3 linked regions of the Stegostoma tigrinum genome follow. The protein of the gene in region 3 binds, or shares a complex with, the protein of the main gene of each other region. Links are inferred from orthologs where the notes say so. Each region holds a gene or a part of one and is shown on either strand. Other genes may lie near its edges.

What was found.
Region 1: rbm48 (region 3) and snip1 share a complex: the UniProt entries of both Homo sapiens proteins name them as parts of the minor spliceosome. The link is inferred for Stegostoma tigrinum from reciprocal best matches to the Homo sapiens genes RBM48 and SNIP1.
Region 2: rbm48 (region 3) and snrpd2 share a complex: the UniProt entries of both Homo sapiens proteins name them as parts of the minor spliceosome. The link is inferred for Stegostoma tigrinum from reciprocal best matches to the Homo sapiens genes RBM48 and SNRPD2.

The regions. Positions count from the first base shown.
Region 1 is NC_081377.1:12,588,864-12,597,457, forward strand, and holds the start of snip1 (smad nuclear-interacting protein 1), read right to left. Parts: upstream 3,455-8,594; 5' UTR 3,424-3,454; coding exon 3,184-3,423; intron 2,014-3,183; coding exon 1,406-2,013; intron 1-1,405. UniProt on the Homo sapiens protein: Required for pre-mRNA splicing as component of the spliceosome. As a component of the minor spliceosome, involved in the splicing of U12-type introns in pre-mRNAs. Down-regulates NF-kappa-B signaling by competing with RELA for CREBBP/EP300 binding.
Region 2 is NC_081392.1:12,358,869-12,366,943, forward strand, and holds the start of snrpd2 (small nuclear ribonucleoprotein Sm D2), read right to left. Parts: upstream 3,455-8,075; 5' UTR 3,342-3,454; coding exon 3,340-3,341; intron 1-3,339. UniProt on the Homo sapiens protein: Plays a role in pre-mRNA splicing as a core component of the spliceosomal U1, U2, U4 and U5 small nuclear ribonucleoproteins (snRNPs), the building blocks of the spliceosome.
Region 3 is NC_081355.1:77,251,668-77,259,857, reverse strand, and holds the start of rbm48 (RNA-binding protein 48), read right to left. Parts: upstream 3,582-8,190; 5' UTR 3,496-3,581; coding exon 3,394-3,495; intron 1,004-3,393; coding exon 813-1,003; intron 1-812. Other genes in the region: pex1 (peroxisome biogenesis factor 1), read left to right, coding at 3,795-3,899. UniProt on the Homo sapiens protein: As a component of the minor spliceosome, involved in the splicing of U12-type introns in pre-mRNAs.

The DNA.
Region 1 (8,594 bases), on a different chromosome or scaffold from region 3:
TCCGCATGCAGGCAAGCTTAAGCAGCATTGCCAGAGACTGGAATGCTGATTGGGTGAAACAAGAACGCTAAATGCACCAGAATTAGATGAAAACAGGAAATGGGGCCAAAAAACTTCTGTAGCAGAGGAAGTACCAAAAACAACCTATAAAATTTCTCCTAGCAAAATACAACTGCACAGTGTTTGTCAATGTTGAATGGTATTTGAGGGAAATGAGCTTACAAGATAACAGAGGTAAAAAAAGTGTCTGGAAATCAAACTGATCTACAAACAGCCAGCATGAACTCAATAGGACAAATTGCTCATTCAACCCCCTAATGACTATGACTGAAAAAAAAATCTTGGTTAATTAATACCAAGAACAAGAAGCAATTGACTGTGAATAAAATTAATCTTGGTAAAACTGATCCCAGCACAAAATGTTATGCAAAGTTGCTCATTAACTTTGTTCAATCCAGAAAAATAAAATCAGATGATCAATGCACGCACTAATTTTAATATTACACCTAAGTACTTCCCTCGAAGTACCAAAGGGTGTTGGCAATACTTTCAAAACGGGATTCAGAGAGAGAAAAGGGTAACAGACAGCCGAAACACTTTTGGACCGGACTGTGGAATAGGACAAAAGCTATGGCCTATCAAACACAAAAGTATCAGTCTATAAAATCCACTCACTTATAAAGTATTTCAACATATTTAATGCCCTAAGACAAACATTTCCATAAATATTGCCTGCTTCCCATTTACTGCTCCACCCCTAAAACTGTACTTGTTAAATCTACAAGAACTGCAGTCGCGTTTATTAAAATACAACAGTGACTATGTTTCAAAATTGCTCGACTGGTTATAAAATTATATGCAATGACCCAAGACCAGGAAAGGTGACTTGGGAACATAAGGTCTTTCTTTAGCTCCAGGATATAAATTAGATTTTGGCAGCTGCTTGCCCGAGACACTTTCCCTGTCCCAGGAAACATCAAACCCTTTACAGGTACTGCTCAGTGAGGAATCTATCACTGTGACCACAAGCTCATTTCTTAATGGGATGTTTGTTTAGTTTTTTTTTCTTAAAGTAGTTATTTAATATTAACAAACTGCCTTTCCGGGGAAGACTGCTGAACATCGAGGAAATAAAAATCATTTTGCAGTCTACTTCCTATAATAGAAATTGGGAGAGAGAAACCTGGACAGCAAATAAAAGAAAACCAATCCTACAGGAGAAGGGTGGCAACCAGGAAATCCAATGGGATCAGCATCAGACTAACCGATGTCAGAACAATGCAAAGTTGTCATTTAAGGGAGCACAGGGAACCATTCAACCAACATGTCCATACTGGACCCTGCACAGCAATCCAGTTAGGTCCACTCCCCACAGGCTTACATTAATAGCTTTTTAAACACCAACCTGTATTGTAGCACTGCATGTTGCTTGGAGCAGGAAGGATGGTCAATTGGGATATCCACGACCCTCCGCTGTCGGCCCAAGAGATAGGCACTCTGACGATGAATGTGCATAACTGGAAGAGGCTCATCATTCTTGAACGGATAAAGCCGCCATCGTTTCCTTGGGATCCGGGACTCGGGCGGTTCACAGTATTTTATCACCACTCCACGAAAGGTGTTTGTGTCTTCCACGAGGGCACCAGAAAGCTCAAAATTTGGCTCCTCTTTCACCGGGGCTGTGTTGCCACTATGAGCTTGGCTGTTATTTGACTCAGAGGCAGGATGCTCATCACTGAGCAGGGGACACTGATTGCGGTTTTGACGCCTTCTCTCATTGTAGTACTCTCGCTCGGCCTGCTGAGTGCTGAGGAGCTGAGCCTCCCTGTCTCGGCCACTTGTACCACCTTCTGTGTGAGAGCTACCATTCCTTTTGTTGTGGCCTCGGCCCCGGTCTGAACATTCTCTGTGACGCTCTCGGTCACTGTTCTTCTTGCGCCGATGCCCATTTCTACTAGAGTGGTCTCTGTGTCGTCTCTCAGCATGATCCCGTTGAGAATGGTCATGCCGTTCCTGAACGGAATGAGAAAAATTAAATTTTGCATGCCATGGCATGGCCTGAAATTATGAGACAATTGGTATAAAAACTTCACATGGTAACTAGCGGAGATTATTATTTCATCATAGAATTATAAAATCCACACAGTGCAGATAGAGACAATTCAGCCCGAGTCTGCACCAACATTCCGAAGAGTCAGAGATGCACCAGATCCACCCCCCCATCCTATCACCATAATCTCACGATGACCATGACCAAGCCATCTAGCCTAACCATCCTTCAACAGGTGGGGCAAATTAGCATGGCTAATCCTTCTAACCTGCACACTTGGACTGTAGGAGGAAACCAGAGGGCCAGGCAGAAACCCACACAGGCATGGGGAGAATGTGCAAGCTCTACACAAGGTTGGAATCAAACTTGGATCACTGGCACAGGGAGGCAGCAAGGCTAACTACTGTGCTGTGTTGCCAAATTAACTTATCCGTGAAATACATGAACTGGAAAGCTAACTATAAACTATTGTATTTAACTATCACATTAAACCTTGTGGCTTCACAACAGAACACAATTCACATCCAGGGTGATCATTTTAACTTTTAACCACTAAAACAGGAATCTAGAATCAAATTTAATCACAACTAAGGAGGCCATTCAGCCAGATAGCACCTTCAGAGGGCTATCCAATCAGTCCCATTCACCAGTCACAGTGCTGCAACTCATGTCTCTTTTGAATCATTCAGTTTCCTTCCAAAAAGTGAAAATCAAATCTGCTTCTGCTACCCTGTCAGGCAGCGCTTTTCGGCGTATAAGATCTCACTCTGGATGAAAGGAAATTTGTATTGGTGTCTTCGCCAAACACCTTTAAACTTGTGTTCTCTCATTCAGGTCCCTTCTGCTGCTATTAACAATTCCTCATGCACTTTAATGGAACTTTTTAATAATACTTCACCTGCCTCTTCATTGCACCAAATTCCCCTCCTTCCTGCGCTCACCGAGGAACTGAATTTTCACTCACACACTCTCTTTAGCAATGACACTAGAGTGAGATTGACGTGAAAGTTAAATCCTCTTCCTCAGTTATGATGTGGCTGAATTGGGGCTGCAGTTCCTGTCATGCGAGGGAACGGTTGCTGCAGTAATGATTTGTGTTTTATTATTATTACCGGCTTGACTCGGTAACTCACCCGCTTCAACTTGCCCCCGGGCCGTGAATGTTGTTGTTGTTCGGGTGCCGGCTTCCTCCGGGCCGGGGAGCGGCTCTGCCAGTGCTCAGGTGGAGAGACGCTGCCCCCGGAGGAGCCCGAACTCGAGGGCCGGTGCTTGGGGCCAACTGCCCCCTCTCGCTTGATCCTCAATCGGTGGCGGTCGGTCGCGGGCCCAGGCTCGGGGCTGTGCCAGGCCCGGCGGCGGCCCTGAGCCTCCATCTTCCCGGCTGTGGCACCGACCCGGAACAACACTGCCGGCCAGCGAATAGAACACTTCCGGGGTCACGTAGCAGAGGTGAGAGATCAGCCAGCCAAGGCTCTTGGCTCCAACCTTGGACAGGCAACTGCAGAATGATTCCCTCCTAATATTAGATTCATGAATCGCTGCATCACCTCTCTCAATACACACTGCTCCAGAGATGCTTGCTGATGTTTTCTTGTTATTATTATTTTTATTTGTTCTTGCCTGTCTCCAGTGCTCCTGCTGATTTCTCAAACCCATTGGGCGCTAATGGTCTCAGGGTTGCAACTAGACTAGAACTTGGCCTGCTGTGTTCATCCAGCTTCACATTTCGTTATCTTAGAACTAGGGGGATACAGTTTAAAAATTAGCGGACTCGTATTTCAAGTTAGAGATGAAGAGAGTTTATTTCTCTTGTCAGAGGGTCGGATGTCTTTGGCAATCTCTTGGCAGGGAATGGTGGACGTGGGATTACCGAATATTTTTGAGGCAGAGTTAGATTCTTAGCTGACAAGTCAAAGTTTATTTAGGGGTGGTTAGGCACAGCAGTGGAGGTGAGGCCGCAATCAGGTGAGGCATGATATTATTTGAATGGCAGAGCAGGCTTGAGGGGACAAATGGCCTACTTTAGCCTATAATTTCTATGCACCTAACAGGGTGACCAACTCGGGTTAGGAAGAAGGGAAATTTTGGTACAGGTGACTGTCCAACTGGGCTGGGGGATGTTGATGAGCCAGTGGGAGGTGCATTATCCACATCTGCAACAATTAGGCAGCACAGTAGCTCAGTGGTTAGCAAAGCTGCCTCACTGCACCAGGGATCAGGGTTTGATTTCACCCTTGGGTAACTATCTGTTTGAAGTTTGGACATTCTGTGACTGCATGGGTTTCCCCCAGATGTTCCGGTTTACTCGCACAGTCCAAAGATGTGCAGGTTAGGTGGATTGACCATGGGAAATGCAGAGTTACTGGGATGGGATATGTCTGAGTGGGATGCTATTCAGAGGGTCAGTGTGGACTTGATGGGCTGAATGGCCTGCTCCTGCACTACCTGGATTCTATGATGAAAAATGCGGAATAAGGACTGTTCTGAAAACAGCCAATCCGGGACAAGGGACAATCTGGTCCAAAATTGAATAGTCCAAAAAAATCCAGGAAATTTGGTCACTGTTGTAAACTGAACACTCAGGTTCAGGACAGCAAACAGAAATATACGAAAGACTGAAAGGGCGAAAGTTTCTGCCTAAAAGTTTCTCATTCCCCCAGTTAGACTGGTTAGCAAGGTTAGATCATGTGGAATACAGGAGAACTTGCGATTTGGATACAGAACTGGCTCGAAGGTAGGAGATCGAGAGTGGTGGTAGAAGGTTACTTTTCAGACCGGAGGCCTGTGACAAACAGTGTGCCATAAGGATTAGTACTGGGTCCACTGTCCTTTGTCATTTATATAAATGATTTAGATGTGAACGTAGGAGGTATGTTCAATAAGTTTGCAGGTGACACCAAAATTGGACAACCAAGGTTACCTCAGAGTACAATAGGACCCTGATCAGATGGGCCAAGGAGTGCCAGATGGAGTTTAATTTTGATAAATATGAGGTGCTGCATTTTGGAAAGGCAAATCAGGACAGGACTTATACACTTAATGGTAAGGTCCTGGGGATTGTTGCTGAACAAAGATACCTTGGAGTGTAAGTTCACTGCTCCTTGAAAGTAGATTCACATGTTGACAGGATAGTAAAGATGACATTGGTATGCTTGCCTTTATTGTTCAGCGCATTCAGTACAGGAGTTGGGAGGTCATGTTGCAGCTGTACAGCACATTGGTTAGGCCACTTTTGGAATGCTGTGTGCAGTTCTGGTCTCCCTGCCATAGGAAGAATGTTGTGAAACTTGAAAGGGTTCAGAAAAGAATTACAAGGATGTTGCCAGAGTTGCAAGGTTTGAGCTAGAGGGGGAGTAGACTGGGGCTATTTTCATTCGGGCGTTGGAGGCTGAGGGGTGACCTTATAGAAATTTATAAAAATCATAAGGGGCATAGATAGAGACCTATTGGGCAACTTTTTCATGCAGAGGGTGGAGCATGTATGGAATGAGCTGCCACAGGAACTTGTGGAAGCTGGTACAATTATGACTTTTAAAAGGCATCTGGATGGATATATGAATAGGAAGGAGTCAGATGGATATGGCAAATACAGGCAAATGGGACTAGATTAATTTAGGATATCTGGTCAGCATAGATGAGTTGGATCCAGCTCTATGTACACCTGTACAATTCTTTGACTCTACTATAAACTAAGATGCTGAAAATCTCTCAGGGCTATATGTATGGCACAAAATATATATTGTAATTATAAATGTTGATCGAATGTAGTGAAGCACCCCTGGATAAAATAGCCTTTTCAGTTGATTCGCAGATTCTCAAGCAGTCTGCAATTTCAGTGGCTTGGATAGACTGGGATATCTTTCCCTGAACCAAAGGGGGCTGAGAGGTCTTTTATAAAGATTTTTAAAATCATGAGGGGCACAGATAAGGTGAATAGCCAAGGTCTTTTCCCTTAGGGTAGGGAAGTCCAAAATTAGAGAGCAAAGGTTTAAGATGAGAGCGGTAGAGATTTAAAAGGGACCTGAGGAACAACTTTTTCATACAGTGGGAGTTGTGTATATGGAATGTAAGACATTTGGACAGATACATGGATAGAAACGTTTTAGGGTCATATGGGCCAAATGCAAGCAAATGGGACTAGCTCAATATAGGAAACTTGGTCAGCATGGAGGATTGGGCTGAAGGGCCTGTTTTTGTGCTCTGTGCCTCTATAAATTACCTTCTGGTAACAACATACTGTGTTCACACAGAACCTTTAATGTAGAAAAATGTTCACAGAAGCATAGCAGGAGAAAAGAACATTGATGCTAGACCAAAGAAATATGATGCAGCAAAGGAATAACTGATGCTTTATCCAAGAGACTGTGTTTTATACATGTCACACCACACTGGGACACATGCTACAAATCATGGCTTGCTATTTCTAGAGTCATCACAAAAGTTGACAATTTTATCAAAGTACACAAAGTCCCAAATTTACCTGTCTGACAGACTCAGGTTAACATAAAATATGGATCCGTTTCTGAACCTACCAGGAATTACTATTTACTCCAAATAAATAAGTTCTCTGTCTGTCTCTTTGTAGGATATGCTGAACATTCCTTGCTCCTGTCCCACTCAATCTCCCTTCCACAGTTCTTTCTCTAGTACATTGATAATGTCATCAGGACTGCTTCCTGCACTCATTAAGAATTGGAAACTTAACCCGTTTTGCTTCCAACTTTTGTCCTCCTCTCACCTTCACCTGGTCTAACTCTGACTCTCCATTTCCCTTCTTTGACTTCACGGGGTTTCTATTTCTGGAGACAAGCTGTCCACCAATATCCACGATAAACCCACCTCATCCCATAGTTACTTTGACTACAGTTTCACACCCTGTTTCCTTCAAGGATTCCATTCTATTCTCTCAGTTTCTCCATCTCCGCAGCATCTGTTTCAATAAAGCCATCTTCCACTGATGTGTCTCCAAACTTTTCTCATTTTTTTCTCAGTCGAGAATTGCCCCACAACATGGTTGACAGGGCCTTCAGATGTGTGTTACCCATTTGCTGTCCTTTTGCCCTCACCACTTTGCTTCTCTCACAGACAAAAAGATTCCCCATGTTGTCACTTTGCACACCACCAGTCTCCACACTGAGGAAATTCTCTGCCATTTCCACCACATCTAGAAGGATGCCACCAACAAATTCTTCTTCCCCTCCCCACACTTCAGTGTTCCGCATGGACTGTTCCCTCTGTGAACTCTGGTTCACTACTCAGAGACTCCTTACACACCATCCTCCCCGCAGGGCACCTTTCCATGAGGTGCTTCTTGCCTTGATACCTCTCCTCTCCTTACAGTCTTACACTCCCTAAGATCCCAAACACATTTTCTAGGTGACATATCATTTCACTCATATTTCTTTCATACTAGTCTACTGTCGTCACTTCTCACCATGTGGCCTCCTCTAAATTAGCGAGACAAAATGCAGAATGGGGAACCACTTTACAGATCAGCTCCACTCTGTCTATAAGAATGACCCAGACATTTCAGTTGTTTGCCATTTCAATGAACTATCTTGTTCCCATTTCCATCCTAGGCCTGCTGTAGCATTCCAGCAAAGTTCAACACAAGGTGAAGAAACAACACCTCATTTTCCACTTAGGCACTTTACAACTTGGGAACTAACAATGAAAGTTCAACAGCTTCAGAGCATGAACATCACCTTTCATTCTGATTACATCCCCACCCTTCCCCATGTCTTGCTGATGTTTAGTTGGCCTTGCTCCCAGCAGAGCTGACCTGTTTTCTCCTGTTAAAAGTTATCATTAACATCTACTTTACATCCTAATCTGTCGTTTATCATCATTAGCACTGCCTTTATATTTCGCTCACCATACCCACCCTCCCACTCCATCTTATCAACAGCATAACAGCCATAACTTCCCAACCCCTTAGTACTGAAAAAAAGGCAAACTCATTCTCTCTTTGCCAGACCTGCTGAGTTTCTCTAATATTTTCTGTTTTAGTTTTAATCAAGAAAGCAGGAACAGGAGCAATAGATCATGCTTTTAGGAAAACTTGAGTGTTGACATTATCGTACATAACATGGCCTCATAGTAGCGAGTTTTGAGAAGATTTGTAGCTCAGGTTGAGGTTCTGGATGTGAGTTTGCTCGCTGAGCTGGAAGGTTAGTTTTCAGACCTTTTGTCACTTTTTTTTATTTGAAAAAATGTACTTTATTCATAAGATGTACAAAATAAAACATATTTATATACCTACCCAGTCATGCAAGCCGCTCTGGGTTACCCAGGGGGTACGTACATCAACTAAAGGAAAAAAAACAAAGAAGAAAAAAACAAAGCAAAGAAAATACCCCGGCAGTCGTCACCCCGCACAGTCCCCGTTGGCTCCCTGACCAGTTGGGGAAGGCGCCAGCTGGGCCCAGTTACCAGATAGGATTCTTTTCCCTTTTCTGGACGAGGGGTTTCATACGGTGGTCTTTCCCCACCGCGCCTTGGTGGCGGCTGCCCCAAGCTTTAGCGCGTCCCTCAGCACGTAGTC
Region 2 (8,075 bases), on a different chromosome or scaffold from region 3:
CATTCAGTTTCACTCCAAACTTTTCTCTCTTGCCAATACCCACTCTAGCCATACACTGGCAAAAGTCCAAAATTAAACCAATTTGTTCAACTCAATAATGTTCAGCCCCGGGATGAGTGTCCAACCAGACATTAATGCTGTCACCAATCTATAACATCCCAGATATTGTACCTGCCTCAACTGAAGTGTCACTGAACCCAACACACCAAGTTCAGCTTCTCCCATCAACCCAATGCTTGCTGATCGATACTGGCATCAATCCACATCGATTTCAAGATTCTCGTCCTTGATTTCAGATCCTCCCATAGCATCACCCCTCCTTATCCTGTAATCTCCTCTCACCCAACAACCTGCCCTCATTCAATTCCAGCTCTGAGTTTCTCCAATGTAAGTCAGTCCAGCACTGGCAGCCATGCCTTCGGCTGGTTGGGCCCCAGGATGTGGAATTCACTTCCCAAAGCTCTTCGCCTCTAGGGCTTTCTATTCCCCCTTTCAGATGCCCCTTAAAGATTCGACCAAATGTATGGTCATTTGACTGAACAACTGTCACAATGTTTTATAATGCTCATGAGAGATTCTGTATGTCAGTTACAACATTAAGGCACTATATAAATGTAAATTTTGCCATTAAAGAGCATGTTAGCGGGTCAGGGGAACGGGCTAGACTCTGTATGCCTTCAAGAAAATGAGTTGATCAGGTTCCCAATTAGAAATAGCTAATGAACATGCCAGACCACATTAAACCCAGTGGATCGGACTCTGGAACTAGATATCTAGTTCCAACAACTGCAGTAAAGAAACCGTGTAAATACCCTACCTTAACAGCAGTATAGGAAATGCTTGGATAAGGTAAGTTAATTTGAGTAATTTGAACAAGGTGATGAAAGCACAAATTTAGGAGGAAGCAGTGAGGCAAGATGGATGGGGATGGGGCAGTGACAGCCATAAGGCCACAGGATATAGGAGCTGAATTAGGGCATTCGGCCTATCGTGTATGCTCCGCCATTCAAACGTGGCTGATACGTTCCTAAACATTATTTTCCTTCCTTCTGCCCATTACCCCGATACCCCTATCAATCAACAACCCATCTTTCTCTGTCTTAAATACACTCAATGACTTGGCCTCCACAGCCCTCCGCGGCAATGAGTCCCACAGATTCACCAGCTTCTGGCTGAAGAAGCTCCTCCTCATCTCAGTTCTAAGGGTCATCCATTCACTCTGACACTGTGCCCTTGTATCCTAGTCTCTGCTACTAGAGGAAATATCTTCTCCACATCCACTTCATCCAGGCCTCTCAGCATTCTGTAAGTTTCAATCAAACTCCCCCCTCATCCTTCTAAACTCTGTCAAGTACAAATCCAGAGTCGTCAACCATTCCTCGTACAACAATTCCTTCATCCCTGGGATCATTCGTGTAAACCTTCAGTGGACCTGCTCAAGGCCACCTTAGAACTCCTTTAGATACAGGCCAAAAACTGTTCACAATATTCCAGATGCAGTTAATCAAAGCCTGATGAAGCTTCAGCAATACAGCTCTGCTTTTCCATTCTAGCCCTCTTGAAATGATTGATAACAGTGCATGTGCCTTCTTAACTGGCAAATGAACCTGCATGTTAGCCTTAAAAGAACGACTGGGACATGTGCTGTTCATGATCTACATAAATGATTTAGAGGAAAAATGTGTTTGGTCTAATTACTAAGTTTGTGGATAATATAAAGATTAGTGGAGTTGTAGATAACTGAGGATTGTCAGAGGATACAGCAGGATATAAGTCGGTTGGAGTCACGAGCAGAAAAATGGCAGATGGAGTTTAGTCCAGCAAAATGTGAGGTGATGCATTTTGGAAGACCAAGTACAGATGGAAATTATACAGTGAATGGCAGAACCCTTTTGGACGGGATTGCTATGCAGAGGGATCGAGGCGTGCAGGTACACAGGTCACTGAAGGTGGCGGCACAGGTACAGAAGGTCGTCAAAAAAATGCTTATGGCATGCTTGCCTTCCTTGGCAGGGGCATTAAGTATAAGGTTGAGTACATTATGCTGCACTCTATAGAACTTTAGTTAGGCCACACTTGGAAAATTGCACACAGTTCTGGTCACCACACTGCCAGAAGGATGTAGATGCTTTGGAGAGGGTACAGAAAAGATTTACCAGGTTTGCCTGGTGTGGAAGATTTTAGCCAAGAAAGGTCAGAAAGACTGGGTTTGTTTTCACTGGAACACAGGAGATGGTTGGGGCGGGAGGGAAGCTCAACATGACAGAAGTTTATAAAATTGTGAATGGCATGGATAAAGCGGAAAGGATGAGGATTTTTTTTCCAGGATGGAGGAGTCATTTACTAGGGGACACAGATTCAAGGTGCATGTCTGTGAGCGTGTGGATGTTTGAGAGAGATGTGCCAAGCAAGTTTTTCACACAAAGGGTGGAATGCGCTGTCAGAGATGATGGCAGAAGCAGACACAAAAGCAACTTTCTAAAAGCACCTGGACAAATACATGATTAGGAAGGGAGTAGAGGGATACAGATCCTGTAAGTAAAGGCAGCTTTAGTATGGAAGGACACAACATGTCAGCACAGACTTGGAGGGCCATCCTGAAAAAGTTCCCTTATCCCTACTGAAAGCAATAAATGCTGAGGGTCACAGTGGATCAGAAAGCATCTGTGGATAGAGAGAGAGCAAGCGCAAAACATTAGCTTGCTTTCTCTCCACAGATGCTGTCTGAGCACTGTGATCGCTAGCATTTGTCATTTTCAGTGCAGATTCCAGCATCTGCAGTAATTTGCTCCTTTTACCCTTTCTGCCAGTCAGCCCAATCCTCTATCCATGCCAGTACCTTGCCCCTAACAGCATGAGCTCTTATTTAGCAGCCTCTTGTGCAACACTTTGTCACAGGCTTTCTGGAAATCCAAATAGATCACATCGACTGGTTCACCTTCGTCTAACTTGCCCTGTTACCTTCTCAAAGGATTCTGAACAGCTTTGTCAGAGTGGAGAGGGACAGGGAAGGGGGAGGCGGCGGGTGAGAACCGGTATCTGAAGAACCAGTAAAATGGGGTAATAGATGCGGAAAGGGAATGCGAATCTGGGAACTACTGCTCCCTCTCCTTCCCCTCCCGCCCTGAGCGATGGGAGGGAAGGGTAGGAGCCGAGAATCTGTGCCCACCATCACCTCGGTGGGGAAAGGCTTCGGGCCCGCGCGGGCTAGGCCTCAGGCCTTAGCAACGCCGGCGAAAGGGCCCGAGTTACCGGCAGAGGAGCGGGTGATGAGAGGGGAAGCATCTCTTTTACCCCTGTCTCTCTTCCCCTCTCAATCACCCTCCACCTCTCACTCACATGGTGCTAGATGTCCCCCCAGTCGCCTCTTCTTCACTCCTTCAACCGCAACCGACCGCGCTTCGCCTCACACCAGAAGTGGGGTTGACTAACTTCCTGCTGGCGCAATGATCGCCGGGAGATGCAGTTTCCGCGTCACGTTCATCCGGTCCGAAAGGCAACGTTCGGGACTACAACCGGGGGCATTCTGGGTGTTGTAGTTCGTCAGTGCCCCTTTAACAAAGCGGAGGCGAGCATATGGACTTCAACCCCCAGCAGCTCCGACTAGCCTCCGCAATGACAACTTCAAACAGCCAGGTGTTTTTAAAGGGACATTGCCATTTAATGAAATTGAACACCCATTCTAGGTCTGGTATTGAAAAGATTTAATTGATGCTTTAAAGTGACTGGCAAAAGATGGGGTGCTGTCATCTGGGTAACCATCGGAAATAGGAACAGGATTAGACAGTTCAACCCCTCAATCCTGCTCCATCAGTAGGATCATGGCTAGTCTGACATTCCTCATATCCACATTCCTTCCCTTTCCCTGTATCTCTTGATTACCCAATTGATCAAGAATCTATCTATCTCTGCCTTAAATATACACAAGGACTCTGCCCCCACAGCTCACTGGGTAAGGAATTCCAAAAACTCACAACCCTCTGAGAGAAGAAATTCCTGCTCACATCAGCCTACAATTGATGTGGAGGTTCTGGATGTGAGTTTGCTCGCTGAGCTGGAAGGTTCGTTTTCAGACATTTCGTCACCATTCTAGGTAACATCATCAGTGAGCCTCCGACAAAGCGCTGGTGTTATGTCCCGCTTTCTATTTATAAATAGAACCTGAGCTACAAATCTTCTCAAAACTCACTGATGTGGAGGTGCCAGTGTTGGATTGGGGTGGACAAGGTCAAAAATCACATGACACCAGGTTATAGTTCAACAGGGTTATTTGAAGACACAGGCTTTCAGAGTCTCAGAGAAAGTAAGAGTTGCAGATGCTGGAGTCAAAGTTAACACAGTGTGGAGCTGGTGGAACACAGCAGGCCAGGCAGCATCAGAAAGAGCAGGAAAGTTGATGTTTTGAGTCAGGACCCTTCTTCAGGAGCCAATGGACCGAAAACACTATTTTTCTTCACAGATGCAGTCAGACCTGCTGAGCCTTTCCAGAAGCTTCTGTTTTTGCTCCTTAAGAATGCTGTATGTCTCAACAAGATCATCATTGATTCTTCTAAGCTCCAGTGTATACAGCCCCTATCTGCTTAATCTTTGCTCACAAGACAATCTCATCCTGTTGAATCCTCCCTGAACTGTTTCTAAAGAAATGATGGCATCAGTGCGGAGTCTATAAAGACACTGACACTTTCCTTGAAGTGTAAAGACAATGACAGAGAGGAGCTCGCTACCCATCGTTTAAGATGGTGCGCCACTCTTTCTGCCAGTATGAGAGACAGTTGAGAGGGGAGGAAAGGAAGCAGATCCTTCGCAATCTGCATTCTCCGACCTCACGGGTCATCCTTTAAAGACGTGAGGATGGACAACCGGCCTGTTCAGTCACATGAGCACCCATGGTAGAAGCTCCCAATTCTGATTGGACGTCATCTCCAAATCGAGGGACTGCTGACAACAGCTTCAAGGCTCCTTATTTTGTCAGAAGGCCCTTTGGCTCTCCATGGGATTGTGAGAGGAGCTATATAGATGCAATATGTTTCTTTTCCTTTAACCCTGATCAAGTGGGACGCTAAGGGGTATAGATAGTATGTATAATAATGGCAGTTGTCTTTTCCCGAGGAATGAGGATTTTGAGACTAGGAGGTACATTTTTAAGGTGAAAGGAGCCAAATTTTAAAAAAAAAGACATAAAGGATAAGTTTTTTTCCACAGAGGGTGGCTCGTGTGTGGGATGAACCTCCAGAGGAAGTGGTGGATGTGGGCACAATTACAACATTTAAAGACAGTTGGATAAGTACATGAATGAGAAAGGTTTGGAGGGATATGGGCCAGGAGTGGGCAGGTGGCACGTGTTTAGTTTGGGATTATGGCTGGCATGGACTGGTTGGACCGAAAGGTCTGTTCCCTTGCTGTATGACGTTATGAGTGTGTGACTCTACAATCAGTGGGAAGACACACTGCTGTATAGTGTATGAGCAACAGAGGTTGCAGGACTCGATGTACTCAGTTAGTTGGGCCCTGTCTGGGAGGAAGAGAGTATTTCTGGAAGAGCAGTACATGTGTGTTTGTGCATGTACTGAGCAAGCTCAATTGAACTTAATAGTTTCCTCATTTTCAAGCAGCCTGCAAACCCTCAATCTCTTGCTTGGTACTTGGAAAAACAAGAACAGGTATCTCCACTACACATAATCTACACCGTCAGGGGAGATGGAACATCAGGGAGTAAAGATTCAAATGATCTAATAACGTCACTGTTACAAAGGGTGGAGCGATTATCGTGAGTGTTACTTTATGCTGTATGTCAGAGTGTGACTGCGAGATGTTTAGACATGTACAATAGAACAATTCAGAAGGTAGAGTTGTGTTAGAAGATAGTGAACAAGGTGTAGACCTGAAGTCGTGTGAACAGTAGAGTCCAATGAAATGTCTAAACCCATAAATATAAAAAGTTAGAAACCAGGTCCCTCACAAGCAGATAATATTGGCTACAGGTCACAGGAAATCTGCTACAGATATGTTCTCCCCCTCACACACCCTCTGAGTTTATCACCCTGCTCATGACCAGGGGCATGTTGAAGGCTTCTGCAAAGGGGATGGTGTGTGTCTGGAACGAGCTGCCAGAGGAAGTGGTGGAGGCTGGTACAGTTACAGCATTTAAAAGGCATCTGGATGGGGACATCAATAGGAAGGGTTTAGAGGGATATAGGCCAAATGCTCTTTATTCATTAACAGGATGAGGGCAGTGCTGACTAGGCAGCATTTATTGGCCATCCCTAATTGACCCACAGGACAGTTAAGAGTCAACCACATTGCAGTGGGTCTGGAGTCACATGTAGGCCAGACCAGGCAAGGATGGCAGGTTCCTTCCCTAAAGGACATTAGTCTAGCAGATGGGGTTTTCCAGCAATCATCAGGGTATTCTTAATTCCAGACATTTTATTGAATTCAAATTCCACCATCTGACATGGTGGGATTCGAATCCGGGTCCCCAGAACGTTATCGGGATCTCTGGATTAGCAGTCCAGCGACAATACCACTAAGCCATCACCTCCCTGGCGAAAGGGACTAGGTCAGACTGGGATATCTGGTCGGCATGGATGGATTGAACCAAAAAGTCTATTTCAATGCTGTATGAGTCTACTTGCGTCAGTGTTCAAACCCTTCTTGTATATATTTTGCTGTAACAGGCCTTGCAGCCCAACTGTCCATGCTGCACCTCTTTTCACCTTATCCTATCAGCATATTCTTCCAAGGGGGAGTCCTCGTTTAAAGTTTTTTTTCACTTTAAAGTTGTTTCTGATTTATGTCTGTTTCCTCATTTCTAGTGTCCATTTTATCATCCCTTATGTCCTGTTGTGTCTCAAATCATTGCATCATCAATGAGACCTGTGCAGAACTTTGTTTATAGATGGGGTTGTGGTGATAAGCTTCCCTGTTGACCATGCTCGATTTATAGAGGAAGCAAACGTATATAAAACATGATCTGCAATACTTCAATCACAAATCTTATGGCCCAGACCACACGACCTCAAAATATTTTGAGAAGGTAGCCTAGACACTAAATTTTTCTTACCTTAAAGATAGATGTGAAATGTCACTTTCCAGATACAAAGCAACTGGTCAAACTACTCAACATTAGACAAAACATGATTTATCTAAACGCTGTAGTTAAAACGCAAACAAACGAACGATTGGAAAACATAATCGAGTAACAGATGCAGTAACTCTTACTAATTAACTGTACCAATATAGTAACAACTCATAAACACTCCCCCTTGGCAAAAAGACAATTCAGATACAGATTCTCACAGGCAGTTCTCCAATCCAGGAGGAAAAACATCAAGAGAGAATTCAGAGAGAATAGCAGCTAGGAGTCATTCACTGAAGCTTCCAGTTCATTTGAGAGTCCAAAGGCTTCTTATGCAAATGAGAAATCAAAACCTGGAAATGTAGATCTATGAGAGCTAGCCACACCCATTCAGTCTGTTTAAAAAAAAAATCCAAGGCCTCACAAGCTGTTTACTCAAGCTGTCCTTAGTAGCCGTTTCGGTCTCTCTGCCTTGCAGCCTCTCTTCAAATAAAGAACAAAAATAACCTTTTAAAATCATGACATCATCACACAAACATTGCATCAAGGCAGAATAGTGAAGAAAGCATTTGTTACACTTACCTTTATTGGTCAGTGCATTGAGTGTAGGAGTTGGGAGGGTCACGTTGAGGTTGTACACGACGTTGGTGAGGCCACTTTTGGAATACTGCATTCATTTCTGGTCTCAGTGCTATAGGAAGGATGGTGTAAGGCTTGAAAAGGTTCAGAAAAGATTTACAAGAATATTGCTGGAGTCGGAGGCTTTGAGCTACAGGGAGAGTTTGAATAATTTGGGGCTATTTTCCCTGGAGCATCAGTGGTTGAGGGCTGACATTTAGAAAATCATGAGGGGCATGGATAGGGTGAATAGTCAAGGTCTTTTCCGCAGGATAGGGGAGTCTGAAACTAAAGGGCACAGGTTAAAGGTGAGAGGGGAAAGCTTTAAAAGGGACCTGAGGGGCAACTATTTTACACAGAGGGTGGTGTGTGTATGGAA
Region 3 (8,190 bases):
AACTAGCAGAGAAAAGGAGTAACTTCAAATTATCTGACATATGGATATTGGTTTTACTTAGCAGATACTATGTTTATGTTTGTTAAGATTGAATACTAGCTACATTTCTTTAAAAATTACACAAATTTGATAGACATTTACCGATACCATTACTTTTATCTGTAAAACTTTCAAGTGTATGGAATTTTAGACTATATCCAAAATTGAACCACGGACTAAGACCGCACAAACTTTACCATCAACTTATATTTTGAACCAAAAAGCATATTAAACATAATTCACTTTGTACCACTCAGACCCTGTGGTAAGAATAAAATGGATAACTTGTTACTTTATAAAGAGGTTGGCCAAAGTGAATTAATTTCAAAAATCTTTAACTCCAATAAAAAGATATAGCAAACTTTGTTTTAGCTGGCACCTTAAGAATCGGCACGCTCGGTAAACCGGCAAAAATTATATCCCTAAAATACTGAGAGTTTATTGATTTATTGGGATCTCTGCATTGCCCAAGAGGTCATTTGAGGGTGCATGTGGGAAGGCTCTCTGCTTGTAAGTTTTATTCAGGGCTAAGTGGATTATTATTTAAGTGATTTATGATGTAAAGTGCAGCAGCGATGTGTTTTTTTTCCCCAATACATTTCTATTACTTAGTGTGTGTTTTTATACTGATTATGTGGACCTCTTGATCAACTGGCACACTACTGGTCCCATAGGGCACCAGTTAGTAAAAGGTTTACTGTACAAAGAAAGAATGAAAGATATTATTTCTCCAAAACTGAAAAAGTTATTCTAGTTAATTTCTAATTCATTACCTTGCACTCTGTAATCTTTGGTATTTGATGTGATAAACTTCTGTGAATTCCTCAGCTGGGTACTCATGCAATACAGAATATTCTTCAATGGTTCCATATAATGCAAACAGTTCAATCAACTCCTTCATGACTCCCACAGCTGGCACTCCCTGTATTAGCAGGTGCTTCGATTCCAGATTTATTGTGTACACCTAGACCATTGTCAAACATGAATGTGGGGGAAACAAAGCCAGTGATTTCAAAATCATCAATGCTATATTATTGCTTTAGAGTGGTAGATCCCATAGTTTTTCCCACAGTGATCCCACTAAGGGAATCAAGGGTTACAGGGAGAAGGCAGGACAATGGGATTGAGAAACACATCAGCTATGACTGAATGTTGCAGCAGACTCAATGGGCTAAAAGGCCAAATTCTGCTCTGATATTTAATGATCCTTCAATACTTTGGGATGAAGGTCATAAATTCATCAATCTTAAATCAAGTTAACTTTTTAAATACTATCTATACTAAATTTAATTTCTGACTTCCCAAGACCCTTGTTCGGGAAACAGACACCAAGGGCTGCTCTTTAGTTGGCTCCTCAATATAACTGCTCCAGAAATCCAGCTCATTCACAGTCCAGGAATCCTCCAGAGCATTAGTGCTGATTTGATGGACGATAGATAGTATAAGGTACTGGTGGAGGTTAGATAGACCTTAGGTTTAGGGTAAAAGTTCCACACAGCTTCTATGTTAACTGAAATTATCCATTATTACTTTATTACCCACAAGTACACGCAAGTGTAATGTCCTGATTTGTACTGTGTCCAGTATCACCTGTACAATTTAGTGATCTATAAAAAACTTGAAAAAAATTGTGCTGCCCCTTACTGTTCCTTACCCTACCCAAACTGATTCTACATCTTTTGGAATAGGGTTATTCCAAGGCACAACATCGTGGGTCAAAAGGCCTGTACTGTGCTGTACTTTTCTATGTTCTCTGTTCTATCTTCATCCTTTCATCCAAGGTTCCCTCTCACTAATCTACTGATCCTGTCTTCTATTAAGAGTGCTATCTCATCTCCTTGTCCTTCTTGCCCATCCCTCCTAAATCCCAAATGTTCAATTTCCAATCTTGGTCACTCTGTAACCACGTCTCTGTAATAGTATTTAAATCCAATTACTACAATTTGTGCATTTAAATCAACTATTTTGCAATTGTTACTTGGATTCAATAAATTGTTTCTAATTCTACGTGTTCATCATTATGCTCTATTCCTAACATAAGGAGATCACAAATTATCTTCTCCACAAAGCAGTGAAGGATGGCTCACTGAACTTATCCAAGGCTGAGCTGAATGGAATATTGACAAACAAGGGAATCAAGGATTATGGTTTGCAAACAGAATAGTAAAGCTGACACCATAATCAGATCAGCCATGATTTTACTAATTACACAACAGCTTTGAAGGGCCAGATAGACGTCTCCTGCTCTTGAATGTTGTGGTCCTCTACAGCATTGACAAATTGTTGTTCAGGTTCAGAAACAGGTCTGTTGGGTGAGTGAAGTCCTAAAGCTCTTTGCAGGGATGACATTGTCATCCAATGCATAGCCATACTGACTGTGGTATTTCCAAGACAAAGAAAGATATAGGAGATCTGCAAATGAGCTGTATGGCAGAAAGGTGGTGGTGAAATTGGAAGCCGTCATTCAGTTCTAAAATGCAGAATTTTAAAATATGCCATTACATGTGAACATTGGCTAGGAATTTGTTGTTTGTTCTTAACTGCTCTTGAAAAACAAACAAATGCTTAACTATCTTCTCAAATTGCTGCAGTCCACGTGGTTTACTTATTTCGCCGTAGTGTTAGGAAATCAGTTTCAGAATTTTGATAGCAAAATTAAAGGAACCGAAATACGGTCCCGAGTGCGGCTTGGAGAAGTTACAGGTGGTGGTTTCCCACGTAACCGCGGCTCTTGCCCTTCTAGGTGGTAGAACTCATGGGTTTGTAAGGTGTTATTGAAATTACTTGAATGCACCTGTAATGTATCTTGTATGTAATACTGTCACTGTGGTGGAGGGAGTCAGTGTTTAAATTAGAATACCGTTCAAGCGAACTGCTAGAATTATTATACTTCAGTCGACAGAGTGAATCTCTAGCCAAGAATCATAAATATTCTAGAGTTTACAGGGTTAATTTAAATAACCTGTTTATACCCGCTAACGTTTAGATCATAACCGAACTGTTTATAATTACAAAGGAAAGAATTGGAAGGACAGAATTCTTTCTGGTGAGGTAATCGAGCGCAATATTTTGCCATTGAAATTAGATAATTTAGCAGTAAATTATTAAATGTTTTCGACCATAAAGTGGAAATCTGGATCACGCTCAATGTCGACAAGAAAACGATAAACGTCTTCTAAAGATCCAAGAAAACTCCAAAATATTCGCATCTTTCCACCAGACAGCCATGTTGTATCCTCATTGAGAACAACATTGCATTCAACGAAAGACTTTTGCATTCCTCGCAATCAATGAGCTGCAGGACGGGATCGGGTTGTTTCACAAACCTTCACCTACATCCGAAGCAGCACTTACTTTGACAGCCCTCAGCCTCCGACCCTCTCGGTACTTGGGTCGCGTGAAGCAGACGTTTTCCTGCCGATGGTGTCTGAACACCTCAGGAACCCGAACAGCCATCTTTGATCGAAGAAGAGACGATCGCAATCGAGTACCGATCGCTCGATGACTAGATCGTTTGGCACCGGCCCCGGATGGAGTCCCGCCTCCTCCGTGCCCTCCCGTTGAGCTCGGGATGTGATAGGTCGGTCAGAGGTCAATCGAAGAAATCTTGCGTCGGTAGGTCATTTTCGGAAACGGAAACTGACGGAAGTTGGCTGTGCTGGATCTGGCGAATGCGGTCTGTGTTCGAATCTGTGGAATCCTGCGCCTAACGGTGTAAGCGGCGCGAGTTGTGCCCTTTGGCAGCGCGCGGCAGGATGTTGGTTGCCGGGGCCGTCTGCGTGCAACTCAGACTCGGCAACATCAAGGACTGCTTCCTGCACCTGGCCCCTCAGCGAGCATCGCAACTTCATCTGGAGGAGGTGATAGCCGTCGCCAATGGCGTCTTCCCTTTCTTCTCTTCCCCGCTACCACTGTCTTTTTGATTTTACGCCTGCATTTATTATCCATCCCCGGTCACCTTGGCGTCGGGGTTGGGTGCAAGTGATGTTCATTTCAGAGGTCAGCTACGTTGGTGAGGGACTGGCACCACATACAGGCTGCTGTGAGTGAGGACGCCAGATTTCCTTCTCTGGGAGAACAAAAGCAATTATTGAACAGTTTGGATATATATAGTAGGCCGACAATTTAATGGATTCTATTGCTGCTGGTCTTTCATATGTTTTCTCTTAAAAGCGTTGTATTTTGTGTCGCCACGCGCAGTGACTTGTAGCATGTGACGTATTGTGTATTAACATTGTATTAGACACAACAGTGTGGATGGAGCTGGAGGAACACAGCATCAGAGCAATACGAAAGTCGATGTTTCGGGTTGGGACCCTTCCTCATTTATATTTTGTTTATAATTAGTTTTTAGTAATGGCATTTTCTTATGTTTATCTTTCACTTACTGTAAGGCTTGACATAACAAGGTGTAGAGCTGGATGAACACAGCAGGCCGAGCAGGAAGGCTGACGTTTCTGGCCTAGACCCTTCTTCAGAAATGGGGGAGGTGGATAAAAGATGGATAGAAGAGAAGATAGGTGGAGAGGAGACAGACCGGTCAAAGAGGTGGGGATGGAGCCAGTAAAAGTAAGTGTAGGTGGGGAGTTATATGGGAGATAGGTCAAACCAGGGAGGATGGACAGGTCAAGTGGTGTGGGATGAGGCTAGTAGATAGAAGATGGGGGTGGAGCTTGAGGTGGGAGGAAGGGATAGGTGAGAAGAACAGGTTAGGGAGGTGGAGACGAGCTGGGCTAGTTTTGGGATGTGGTAGTTGGAGGGGAGATTTTGAAGCTTGTGAAGTCCACATTGATTCCATTGGTCTGCAGGATTCCCAAGCGGAATATGAATCACTACTCCTGCAACCGTCTGGTGGCATCGTTGTGGCACTGCAGGAGGCCCAGGATGTATGTGTCGTCTGAGGAATGGGAGGGGGAGTTGAAATGGTTTGCACCTTGGACGTGCAGTTGTTTAGTGTGAACCGAGCGTAGATGTTCCACAAAGCATCTGCTTCCCTTTGGTTAGTTTCTGCAATGCACCTTGTAGATAGTAGCAGCAATAGGTACTGAGTGTCAGTGGTGGAAGGAGTGAATGCTTCTGGATATGGTGCTAATCATTCAGGCTGCTTTATCACGAATGGAGTCAAACTTCTTGTGTTGCTGGAGCTGCACCCATCCAGGCAAGTGGAGGGCATTCCATCACACCATTGGCTTTGTGGAGTCAGGAGGTGAGTTAGTTGCAGTAGTATTCCTAGTCTTTGACCTGCTTTTGTAACCACTGAGTTTATGTGGTGAGTCCGGTTGAGTTTCTGGTCAATGATAACCCTAAGGATGTTGTTATTGGGGAATTCCCTTCTAACACCAATGAAGTCAAGTGACAGTGTTAGGCCTTGCTTATTGGAGATGGTCATTACCTGGCATTTCTGCTGTGTGAATGTTACTTGCCACTCATCAGCCCAGGCCTGGATATTGTCCAAATCTTGTTACATTTGAACTTGGACTACTTCAGTGTCTGAGGAGTTACGAATGGTGCTGAACTTTAGATCTTGAAAATGTCACAAATAAGCTCAGAAAATAATCTACGAAATTGATTGGAATACTGGCTGTTGTTATCTAGAGGAATGAAGTACAAGGAACCAGAGGTTATGCTGCAGTTGTACAAAACACCGGTTAGATCCTGCTTACAGTATTGCAGCCTGATGTAAGCAGATCAGGGCACCACCCCTGAGGAAGGGTGTATTGGCCGTGGAGGGAGTAAAACATAGGTGTACAAGAATGATACCTGGACTTCAGGGTTAAGTTTTGAGGAGTGATCTTACAAATTAGGCCTGTTTTCTCTAGAAGTTAGAAGGTAATCTAGAAGGTCTTCAACATTTTAACAGGAAAAGACAGTGGATAAAGATAAACTACTTGTGCTGCTTGGGGAACTAGAACTGGAGGATTAGTCTAAAAATTAGAGCCGGACAATTCAGGAGAGATGTTAGGGAGCACTTCTACACAAAAGGGTGATTTGAGGTTTAGAACTCTTTCCACAAACAACAGTGGATGTAGGATCCGTTGTCAGTTTTAAATCTGAGATGGATCATTTTTGTTAAGCAATGGTATTAAGAGATATGGGCCAAAGGCAGAGATAATGGGAACTGCAGATGCTGGAGAATTCCAAGATAATAAAATGTGAGGCTGGATGAACACAGCAGGCCAAGCAGCTTCTCAGGAGCACAAAAGCTTTTGTGCTCCTGAGATGCTGCTTGGCCTGCTGTGTTCATCCAGCCTCACATTTTATTATCATGGGCCAAAGGCAGATATGTGGAGTTCGGCCACACATAAGCCATGATTTCGTTTAATGGTGAAACAGGCCTGAATGGTCTGTACCAGTTCCTATTGTTATAAGTTAGTCCTAGCTTCGCCTGTAAAAGTAGTTTACCAGGTTACTAAATAGTGAACATCTTCAAGTACTTTCCTTGTTTTTAGGGAGTTTCTTGAATCCTCTGCCATTAGTAGAGCTTTTCTTTTCTGATGATTATTTTTCCCTGCCAAAACGAATCTCCCAAAATCCTTTGAACGCAAGTTTGGTCTGTTCAGGAGACGGCTGTGTGTGACCTCATAACAACACTTCAGGGACTTTGAGAGGCTTAGAATTTAATAGAAGGCTGCCATTGTCTTTAAGTGTAATTATCTTCCACCTGCTTGTACAAGAATCATAGCCTTTCTGGAAATGTTTCGTTAGTTGCATATTAATACCATACTAGTATTACCTTGGGATGTCTCAAAGCCCCTTTCAAACCTTGAAGTACATTGTGGGAAAGTAGCAGCCAGTGTTTCGCAGAACAAGGTTCGACAGTCAGCTAAATGATGATGAGAAAATCTGTACAGTGATTTGTTGTACCAACAGTTGGCCAGGACAGAAGGTTTTAGCTCAAATCTGGGATTTGAACTTGTAACCCACATTAATTTCTCTACAGAGTTGAATTAGTGTGGTGTTGTTTTGGGGTTGCCACCTATTCTCAGTTCGAGAGTGAGACTTGAGCCAGTTTGAAGTTGCGTTATAAGTCATTGTTCCTCAGTGTTCCAGTTACCCAGTTCAATAAAAGATGTAAGGATGAATGCTGCAACTACTCCTCAGTTTAATCCTGTGGAAGTAACCAGGACAAAATTTGATGTTCACTTTAAATGCATGTTAATTAAGGAAAGTTGGGATGGATTAGTTAAAGTCAGATCATGCTGGATGATGAAGACAACATTTTGACCAAATATGGTGTCAGAGTCCTAGTAAACTTGGAGTAAATGGGGGAAACTTTCTGTTGTTTGGAGCCACACATAACACAAAGAAAGATAGTTGTGGTTGTTGGAGGTCAATTATCTCAGCCACAGAATATCATAGTAGGTGTTCTGGATAAATATTTTTAATCAGCTTGTTCAGGTGTTTTATCACATACCTCTGGAGCAGGTGGGTCATGAATCCAGGCCTACTGGCTCTGAGGTTGGGGCTCTACCATTGTGCCTCAAGAGCCCTTCCCAAGTTCCTCTGGATCTTGTCGTATGCCCAAACATCTTCAGCTGCTTCATCATTGACATTCATTTCATCATAAGGTCAGAGGTGGGGATGTTTGCTGATGATTGCACAATGGTCAGCACCATTCTTAACTGCCTCATATTGGAGCAATCCTTGTCTAAATGCAACAAAATGTGGACAGCGTTCAGGCTGGGCTGTTTAGTAATGCCAACAAGAGAGAATCCAGCAATCACCCCTTGACATTCGGTGCCATTACCCTAGTTGAATCCTTTACTATCAATACTTTTAAGGATACCTTTGATCAGAATCTCAACAGGACCAGCCATATAAGTACTGGGGTTACAAATGCAGGTTAGAGGCAGTGAATTCTGCAACAAGTAACTTGCCTTCTGGTTCATCAAAACATCGAATATGAGGTACAAGTCAGGAGTGTGGTTGAATACTCATGAGTGTATCTCAACATCATCCAAGACTTAACAGCCCACTTGATTGGCACTCCATCTACAACATTCGTTCCATCCAACATTGTAGTGCAGTGGCACTGATGCACTGCAGTAACTTACCAAGGCTCCTTCAAGTTTCTCTCCAAGCCATGAACCATCTTGACTTGAAACTATATCATTGTTTCTTCATTGTCATTGGTCAAAGTTGTGCAACAAC